Sus scrofa: one gene and its partner. The protein of the gene in region 2 binds, or shares a complex with, the protein of the main gene of each other region. Links are inferred from orthologs where the notes say so. Each region holds a gene or a part of one and is shown on either strand. Other genes may lie near its edges. The genes, in order: ALKAL2 and ALK.

What was found.
Region 1: the proteins of ALK (region 2) and ALKAL2 are in contact, whole or in part, in a cryo-EM structure (PDB 9G5I), measured with the Homo sapiens proteins. The link is inferred for Sus scrofa from reciprocal best matches to the Homo sapiens genes ALK and ALKAL2. Residues at the interface, in NP_004295.2 of Homo sapiens: Leu684, Tyr739, His755, Ser758, Leu760, Phe856, His857, Glu859, Leu965, Tyr966, Thr967, Pro968, Leu970, Lys971, Val972, Met973, Glu974, Glu978, Asn980, Val992, Glu994, Cys995, His996, Met997, Phe1007, Asp1009; in NP_001002919.2 of Homo sapiens: Ser112, Lys113, His114, His116, Arg117, Leu118, His120, Asn121, Thr122, Arg123, Asp124, Arg133, Arg136, Leu137, Arg140, Leu141.

The regions. Positions count from the first base shown.
Region 1 is NC_010445.4:132,659,687-132,663,978, forward strand, and holds the start of ALKAL2 (protein FAM150B), read left to right. Parts: upstream 1-1,466; 5' UTR 1,467-1,548; intron 1,549-1,945; exon of another isoform or gene 1,946-2,344; 5' UTR 2,345-2,395; coding exon 2,396-2,654; intron 2,655-4,012; coding exon 4,013-4,066; intron 4,067-4,151; coding exon 4,152-4,232; intron 4,233-4,292. UniProt on the Homo sapiens protein: Cytokine that acts as a physiological ligand for receptor tyrosine kinases LTK and ALK, leading to their activation. Cytokine-binding is sufficient to activate LTK. In contrast, ALKAL2-driven activation of ALK is coupled with heparin-binding to ALK.
Region 2 is NC_010445.4:110,068,400-110,072,201, forward strand, and holds part of ALK (ALK tyrosine kinase receptor), read left to right. Parts: intron 1-43; coding exon 44-142; intron 143-890; coding exon 891-1,043; intron 1,044-2,059; coding exon 2,060-2,164; intron 2,165-3,802. UniProt on the Homo sapiens protein: Neuronal receptor tyrosine kinase that is essentially and transiently expressed in specific regions of the central and peripheral nervous systems and plays an important role in the genesis and differentiation of the nervous system.

The DNA of each region.
Region 1 (4,292 bases), about 23 Mb from region 2:
TCTCCGGAGTATCTCTTGATAGAAACGCTCACATTGGAGTCATTGCTTGAAAAAGAAAAGCTCCCCGAGAAATCGAACCCCAAAACGTGTGTGCAGAAGAGGGGTGGATTTGGACGATTACCGGTCCGGTTTAGCCCACCGCCCTCTGCCAAACACGTCGTCTTCCGCAGGAAACGACCCAAGGAAAGGAGGGAGCGGCAGAGGCAGGGAGCCTGGGCTGCGCGGCGGGGGCCTGCCTGGGGGCCTCAGGGCCACCCGCCCAGCCCAGCCCGCAGCGACCTCACCATCCACTATGCGGCCGCCCTGCTAATGGCCGAGGCTTTTAATTCCGGCCCCCGAGCTCCCTTTCGGGCATTGTTCTCAGAACACCTTTCCCAATCACAGCGCCAACTTGGAGGCCGTCCAGCTCTTGCCCAGAAAGCGCCAATAAAATGGGAAAGAGCGCCATTGATTGATAATACATTTTACAAGAAAAAAAATTAAAGGAGATGAATTGGCGAACTCTCACAAATGTGCTGCCTACACCCGAAGAACCAAAACTTTCTGAAAGACGGGGGCCGGGAGGGCGGTGCCCGGGGAGGGCTCCCGCCGGCCTTTCCCGGGAAGGGCAGCCGGAGCACCTGAGGGCTGAGGGTGCCGACCGAGGGCCTTATGCCGGGCGGGGGAGGGGGCACGGCGCGGGCGGGGAGCCGCGGCGGGTCCCCTCGGGGGGCTGGCCGGCCCCTGCCCTCTGGGCTGCCGCCTGGGGGGACCGGCCTGGGGCGAAGCAGACCGCGGTCCTGAGCGTGGCCCCCGGGCTCGCCTGCAGACTCCTCCAGAACGCAGAGACTCCCATTGACTTATTAAATGTCGAGGCAATCAGGCAGCTCCTTTTTTAATAGCCCAAGATCTACATTTAGACAAAAACAGATCCGAGTTCCTGGTAAAGGCGTTTCTTCTCATCCTGTCACAAGTGACAGGAACGGAGGGAAATAGACTGAGGGAGAGAACGGGGCGGGGGGGGCGAAGGGGAGGGAGAAAGGGGGGAGAGGGAGATGGGGTGAAGGGGGAGGGGGCAAGGGGGAAGGGGGAGGGGAGGGGGAACGACGGGGTGGGGGAGGGGAGACGGCGCGGGGAGGGGGCCGGGGAAGGGGGGGAAATGGGGGGGACGCGGGGGGTAGATGGAGGGGGTGGGAGAGGGGAGAGGGACGGGGTAGGGAGACATGGGAGGAGTTGGGGGGGCCAAGGGGGGGTCTGACGAAGATCCGCGCGGGGATACGAACACTTCAGCGGCTTCTAATTAAAGCCCCGCGCCAGGCCCTCGGGGACCCGCCTGACGTCGGCGGCCGCGGGGATAAGAGGCGCCCCGAGGTCCGAGGCGCGACTCAGGCGGCGGCGGGTCCCCAGCTCGGCGCGGTCGAGGCCCCGCGTCCCGGTGCCAGTCCCCGCGCGTCCAGGGCGCTCCGCCGGCGCCGGCGCCCCGGGCATGGAGTAGCGAGCGGGGCGCGCGGCTCCGGGGCGCGGGGACAGACGACAAGAGACGCCCGCGGCTCCGGGGCGAGAGGACAGGTAACCCGGCCCGGCTCCTGCGCACAGGTGGCCCCAGGCTTGGCGCCCTGCAGCGGCGGGCTCGGCCCCCTCCCCAAGGGCCGAGGGTGTTCCCCGCCCTGGCCCCCCGGAGCGAGGGTCCCCGCGCGGGGGCTGGTCGGCGGGCTTCGGGGACACCAGGAGGAGGGGGCGACCGCCACACAAAGGCGCCGCTGGAAACTTGGGCGCAGCTGCCGGGCGGGGCGCGCGGCCCGTCTCTCCGAGGGAGGCGGTTGTGGGCCGGACCCTCCGGACGGCCGCCGCCCCCGGGTTTCTCAAGGTGACGGAAAGTTGTGCGGGCGCCGCACGCGGCCGAGCGGCGGCCGCTGCGCCATTGCCATGAAAGTTCCGCGGCCCGGCGGCGGGGGCGGGACGCGGGCGGGACGAGGGCGAGGCCCGTGCCGCCCGGCGCGCGGAGGGCGGCGGCACCCGGGGCTCGCTCGCAGCATCACCGGTGGGGCCTCGGCGGGTCCCCGTGCAGACCGCGGCCCGGGCGCTCAGCGGCCCCTCGTCTGCTCCCGCCCCCTCCCCCCGGGCCGGGGACCGTGCAGGGCGCCCCTCCGCCGGGTCCGCCGAGGTCCTCGGGGTTCGCGGAGGTCCGCGGGGGGCCCTTGGGATCTGCCGCGGTCCTTGGGGGTCCGCGGAGGGCTCAGGATTCGCTGCGGGCCGCGGGGACAGCGGGGCTGGGGCGCGCGGTCCAAGGGGAGTGGCCTCTCCCCGGCGTCCCCGCCAGCCGCCGACTGGCTTTCCGGGTCTCCCCGCACCCCTGTCCCTCCAGGGAGCCGAGCTCCGGAGCGCGTCGGATCCGCCCAGCCCCGCCGAGCGCAGGATGCGCGGACCCGGGCGCCCCCTCCTCGTGGGGCTGCTGCTCGTGCTGGGGGCGGCGGGGCCCGGCCAGGGGGTCGCGGAGCCCCGGGAGGCCGCGGACCCGCAGAGCCTGCTGCGGCTCATCGTGGAGATCGTCCAGGAGCTCAGGAAGTACCACTCGGGGGAGGCCAAGAGGCTGCAGCTCTCCGGCCGGCAGGACGACAGCCTGGGCCGCAGGGAGGTCGCGGACTACGGCGCTTACGCCGAGGAGCAGAGAGTGGGTGAGTGTGCCGCCCGAGCGGCCGCGTGGACGGAGGACCCCTTCCACAGGCTTCTGGGGTGTGGGCTGTGCTGGCGGAGCCTCCAGCACGTCGGCCTGTCCTGTCTCAGGAGTCCCCAGGGCTTGCTTGAGAATCGAGTTGGCTTTGAGAGAACACACGTATTTTTGAGCTGTAAAAACGTTTCGACTGTTTATAAAAACTGGAAAATATTTTTTAAAAGAAGGAAATAGGAAGGCCATGAATGATGCCTGGCGGCAGATAACAGGTAACTATCCCTCATCCACGTCTAAGACCTGCGGGTCGCTACCTAGGTCCATAATTTCAGCATAGTAGTGCCATCTCTTATTTTGCAAACGGAGATATTTTCAGCAAAGCAGTTTCAACGGAGAGACAGAAATGTTTTAGATCCCACCCCTGCCCCCATCGCGGAGCCTTCCAGAGTGGCTGCCCCTTGGGAAATTTCCAAGGAAAGCGTACAAGCTCTTAATGCTTTGATGACACAATTAGGTCAAATATGATAAGGTCAATTTTATATAGACCGACTAAAGTTAGTTGCAAATGAAGAGTGACATTTAGGAGTTGTCCAAACTGTGCAAGTAAGATTTGATGGAACTGTGCCCTCCTCAGATGGGAATTGGTAGCAAATGTGAGCATATGCCATCCCATCACTAGCGCAGAACAGGTGAGTGCAAACAAAACCAGATGACTTCAAAAGCCAAAACACGGCTGACATCAGAAAGGTCAGTCGAGGTAGTTGCCAACACAAACGAGGAGCTGTGCTCCTTCAGGGGTCTTTCCCTAGGAAAGTGCTCTCCCCTGATCCTCCAGGGCACCGTCTGTCTCCACGCATTCACACCAGCCTTCATAACAGGTGGCTTGAAAAATGGCATCTAACCCTTTTTCTAAATATATACCTGGAAGAAGTGATGTTTCATGGCAAAGTTTTTGTTTAAAGGATCCGATCAGGTTTTCTTCCTAGAACTATGGAGAGGTTGTGGGTTTTGATTCCCAAGCTCTTCAAGATGAAGTGTCTAAGTGATTCATTCACTGGAAGGTAACTGTCTCTCACACACACACACACACACACGGCTACCTTTCTTTTCCTATAACTTTACGGTCACTGCCTCCATTCTAGTGGCAGAGACCCGGGAGATAATGCTGAAGCTTGGAGAGTAGTTAATGCTATTTGAAGAAAATGTGCCTGGATCACCAGAATTCACGTTGTCACACATAGCAATCAAGGGACTACTGTGTTTAGAGCAGTTTCCAGTACCTTTGAACATTCGCTTTGGGTCACATGAAAAAAAAAAATGCTTCTTTCAGGCAATACAATAATTAATTTATTTCCTCTCAAACAGAAATTGTTCCTCGAGATCTAAGGATGAAAGACAAGTTTCTGAAACATCTTACAGGTGAATTTTCTCCTCATTCCTTCGCCTTTTCCCGGGTCCTTGCATCCAGCGGGCCCTCACCAGCTGTTTCTTCTTCCCCTTCCAGGTCCCCTTTATTTCAGCCCAAAGTGCAGCAAACACTTCCACAGACTTTACTACAACACCCGAGACTGCACCATCCCTGCATGTAAGTGACTGCATGCACCCGCGTCAAACATGCCAGCACAGCATACAGGGGCCCCCCTCC
Region 2 (3,802 bases):
GCACCCACCCCTCTGCGTTCAACTCTTCTCTGGTTGGCCACAGGTGGCAATGCGGCCTCAAACAATGACCCCGAGATGGACGGGGAGGATGGGGTTTCTTTCATCAACCCACTGGGCATCCTGTACACCCCGGCTCTAAAAGGTACCCCTCTGCGAGGTGGCAGAACCAGCTTCCATAGGCCAGTTCTCCCTCCCAGCTCCCAGGGCAGCTTGGGAGTTCCTATCATGGCTCAGCAGAGATGAATCCGACCAGTAACCATGAGGACACAGGTTCAATCCCTGGCCTTGCTCAGTGGGTTAAGGATCCGGCGTTGCCGTGAGCTGTGGTGTAGGAGGCAGATATGGTTGGGATCTGGCACTGCTGTGGCTGTGGCATAGGCCAGCGGCTATAACTCTGATTTGACCCCTAGCCTGGGAACTTCCATATGCCTCAGGTGCAGCCCTAAAAAGCAGAAAAATCAATAAATAAAAATAAAACCTCAGGGCAGCTGATGTGAGGCCAGGTTACAAAGGTGTGATTGTGGGTCCCTTGCAGGCAAATCTTCCTAGTGCTTGCTCACCAGGTTTTCTGAAAATCAGGATGCATGATCTGATATGAACACGGAGGCAGAAGACTGACTCCCAGGCAGGCCGGCCCTAGAAAATGCAACAGTAATAGGCCCTGTGCCTGTAGCAGCCAACTTAAGGGTCCCTACAAATACGCACCCACATGCCCTCTGTCTGAGTTCCATCACCGGATGCACCAGGGACTTTCCTGCACAGGCAGTGCCTCCAGGGGCAGTGGGACATAGGAACAGGGACCAGGCGGAGACAAAGCACAGAGCCTGGGATAGGCTGCAGGGCAGCCTTCCCAGCCTCTGCCCAGGCTGACCCTCTCTCCTTGTCACCAGTGATGGAGGGCCATGGGGAAGTGAATATTAAGCATTACCTAAACTGCAGCCACTGTGAGGTCGATGAGTGCCACATGGACCCCGAGAGCCACAAGGTCATCTGCTTCTGTGACCATGGGACAGTGCTGGCTGAGGACGGTGTCTCCTGCATCGGTAAGGGGGTGAGGGAGGGGCCCCAGAGCTTAAGCCACAACTGGTTTCTGTGGTTCTGGGACATCTCGGATACAGTTTTATAAACTGCCTGACACCCCTGACTGCCCCAGCACGGGTGTTCTGAAGATGGACGGGGGACCCTCAGTAAAGGGTGGGCCATGACTCATGAAGGCATCGGAAGTCACCTGGTCCCACTCCCAGCCCAGGATGTGACTCCCACGTCCCCACCAAGGTGCCAGCCCTTCTTCCCTGGAACACCCCAGCGCCAGGGACCTCCACACTCGCAGGGCGCCCCGTCCTGTTGAGAAGCTGCAGCACCAGACCTGTCCCCTCCGACTTCTGCTCCTTGGCTCCCCCACTTGCAGCAGCCCTTCGGGTGCAGTGTCTGAAGACAGAGCCCCCTCCTCCTCCTCCTCAGGTCTTCCTCAGATTAAATAACCCGTTTTTTCAATCCATCCACATGGGACACAGGTCTCATGTCTCTCCCGACCCTGCCGTCCAGTTGTCAATGTCTCTTTGGAAATGCCGCCGGGTCGGGGACCGGGCGCGGTGCCTCCGTGTGGTAGGTGCCAGCGTGCTCCCAGGCCTCCCTCCCGCGCTGAGCCCCGCGCTCTGGAGGACAGGGACTCGATCCAGCCTCAGGAGTGACAGAGAGGCCCTCTCTCTCTCTCACTGGCTCATGTTGAGTCTCCTAAGGCACTACCTCTCTTCTGGAGCCTCTGCTGGCTCCCCTCGCATCCTCGTCCTGCCACGTGCACTTGATATTGATCAGCGTCCAGATTGTGGTTTTCGTTCCTGTTACAGACGCCCTCCCCGGAAAGTTACTGTCGAAAGTTGTAAAACCAGGACGAACCCACTTCGGGCCCTGGGCCTCTGAGAAGGGGGATGGTCAAGGTGTCCAGGCCGGGGAGGAGTGGGTGGCTTCTGTCCAGGCTGGGGAGGCGCTTTCTGACGTGGGACCAGCTCAGAGGAGAAGTAGGCTGGTCACCGGTGCCCCACGGGGACCTGTCTTCCAGTGTCGCCCACCCCGGAGCCCCAGCTGCCGCTCTCGCTGATTCTCTCCGTTGTGACCTCCGCCCTCGTGGCCGCCCTGGTCCTGGCCTTCTCCGGCGTCATGATCGGTGAGTGTACCGGAGCCCCGGCACTTCCAGGGTCTGCAGGAAGGCAGATCTGGCAGAATGGAACAGCACCTCTGGCTCGGCCAGGTGTCCCTCTGGGTGGGGGTTGAGGAGGGCCGCCCAGGCCAAACCAAAACAGAAGCCCCCCGCGCCACACCCCCCAGCACAGCTCTGGTTCCTCGCAGTCCCTGATTCTGCACCTCAGCCCCGGGCCTCCAGACCTCCAGTGTCTGGTCCGCTGCTGCTTACAAAGATACCACTTCTCACTGGAAACATCCATTTTCTTCAAATTTCTAACACACTTTGGTCATCTTCAACGGAGATTAAAGAATCAAATTCTTGGCGTTCCCATCATGCCTCAGCAGTAACAAACCCGACTAGCATCCATGAGGACACAGGTTCCATCCCTGACCTCGCTCAGTGGGTTAAGGATCCGGTGTCGCCGTGAGCTGTGGTGTTGTCACAGACACATCTCGGATCCCACATGGCTAAGGTGTAGGCCAGCAGCTGCAATTCCTATTCGATTCCTAGCCTGGGACCTTCCATATGCCAAGGGTGGGGCTCTAAAAAGACCAAAAAGAAAAAAGGTCAAATTCTTCATGCCAAGAAGGAGGGCACTCTTCGGAGGAGAGCATCATGACCAAAGCTCGCCCCCTCCCCAGGCCTCACTGTGGCTCTTCAGGTTTGGCTCGCTCCCTGCGTCCTGCGTCCCGCCCACCCTCCCCCACCCCCGAACCCCGAAGAGAATGCAGAACTGGTTTTTGAGTGTTTTCTCTGAGGTCTGTGAGCCAAGCAGTGCTGATTTGCGGGTCTCAGAGGGCTCAGGATGGTCCAGCCAGGCTCTTACTGCTAGAGATGCTGGGGCAGGTGGGCAGGGAGCCGAAGGGAGGCAGAAGAAAAGGCTCAGTTCCAGGCAGCACTTTCAGGCCAGCCCCTTGGGGGAGGGACTCTGGGGGTGGCCAGGGAGCCTGTGTGAGTCCCATGACGCCCCCCTTCCAAACGCAGGATGACCAGAGCTAACGTGTTATGCACTCACTACACAGTTTAGTTCCCTGAATCCTCAGAGGCCCCTGTGATCACGGTTGGCACTTTTCATAGAGGAGGACCTGAGGGCACAGGAGTTGCCTCCCTTGCCCTGGCCTGGAAGTGGTGGGCTGAGCTTTAAACACAGAATCTGCCCCCTCCCCATGAATCATCTTCCTTGGAGTTGGCCTGATGGAATGTTCTCGCACATGGAGATAGCAGTGATTGTGGTCACTTGCATTGGGACAGCTCTTTAGAACTCCCCCAAACCATTTTATGTTGATGAATTCATTTCATTATTACAATCCTGGCTGATGGGGCGTGGGGGGGTTACCTCCCTCCTTACGGAGAAGGGGACAGATCCAAAGAGGTCGCAGGTCACTCATCAGTGTCACAGCTTATAAGTAACAAAGGCAGGATTAGAACACAAGTCCTCGGGCACCAGTTTAGAGATCTTTCATCCGTGGCTGTTCTCCAACTATATGGTTTGGTGATTCTTCAACTGTAGGAAACCCAGGTGACCCAGAGCCCACATGGCCCACTGCCATGTCTGTCCCCACCCAGCACCTGGGCAGAGCAGAGATACTAAGGCAGGCTGGTTCCTGGAGACACGGGACC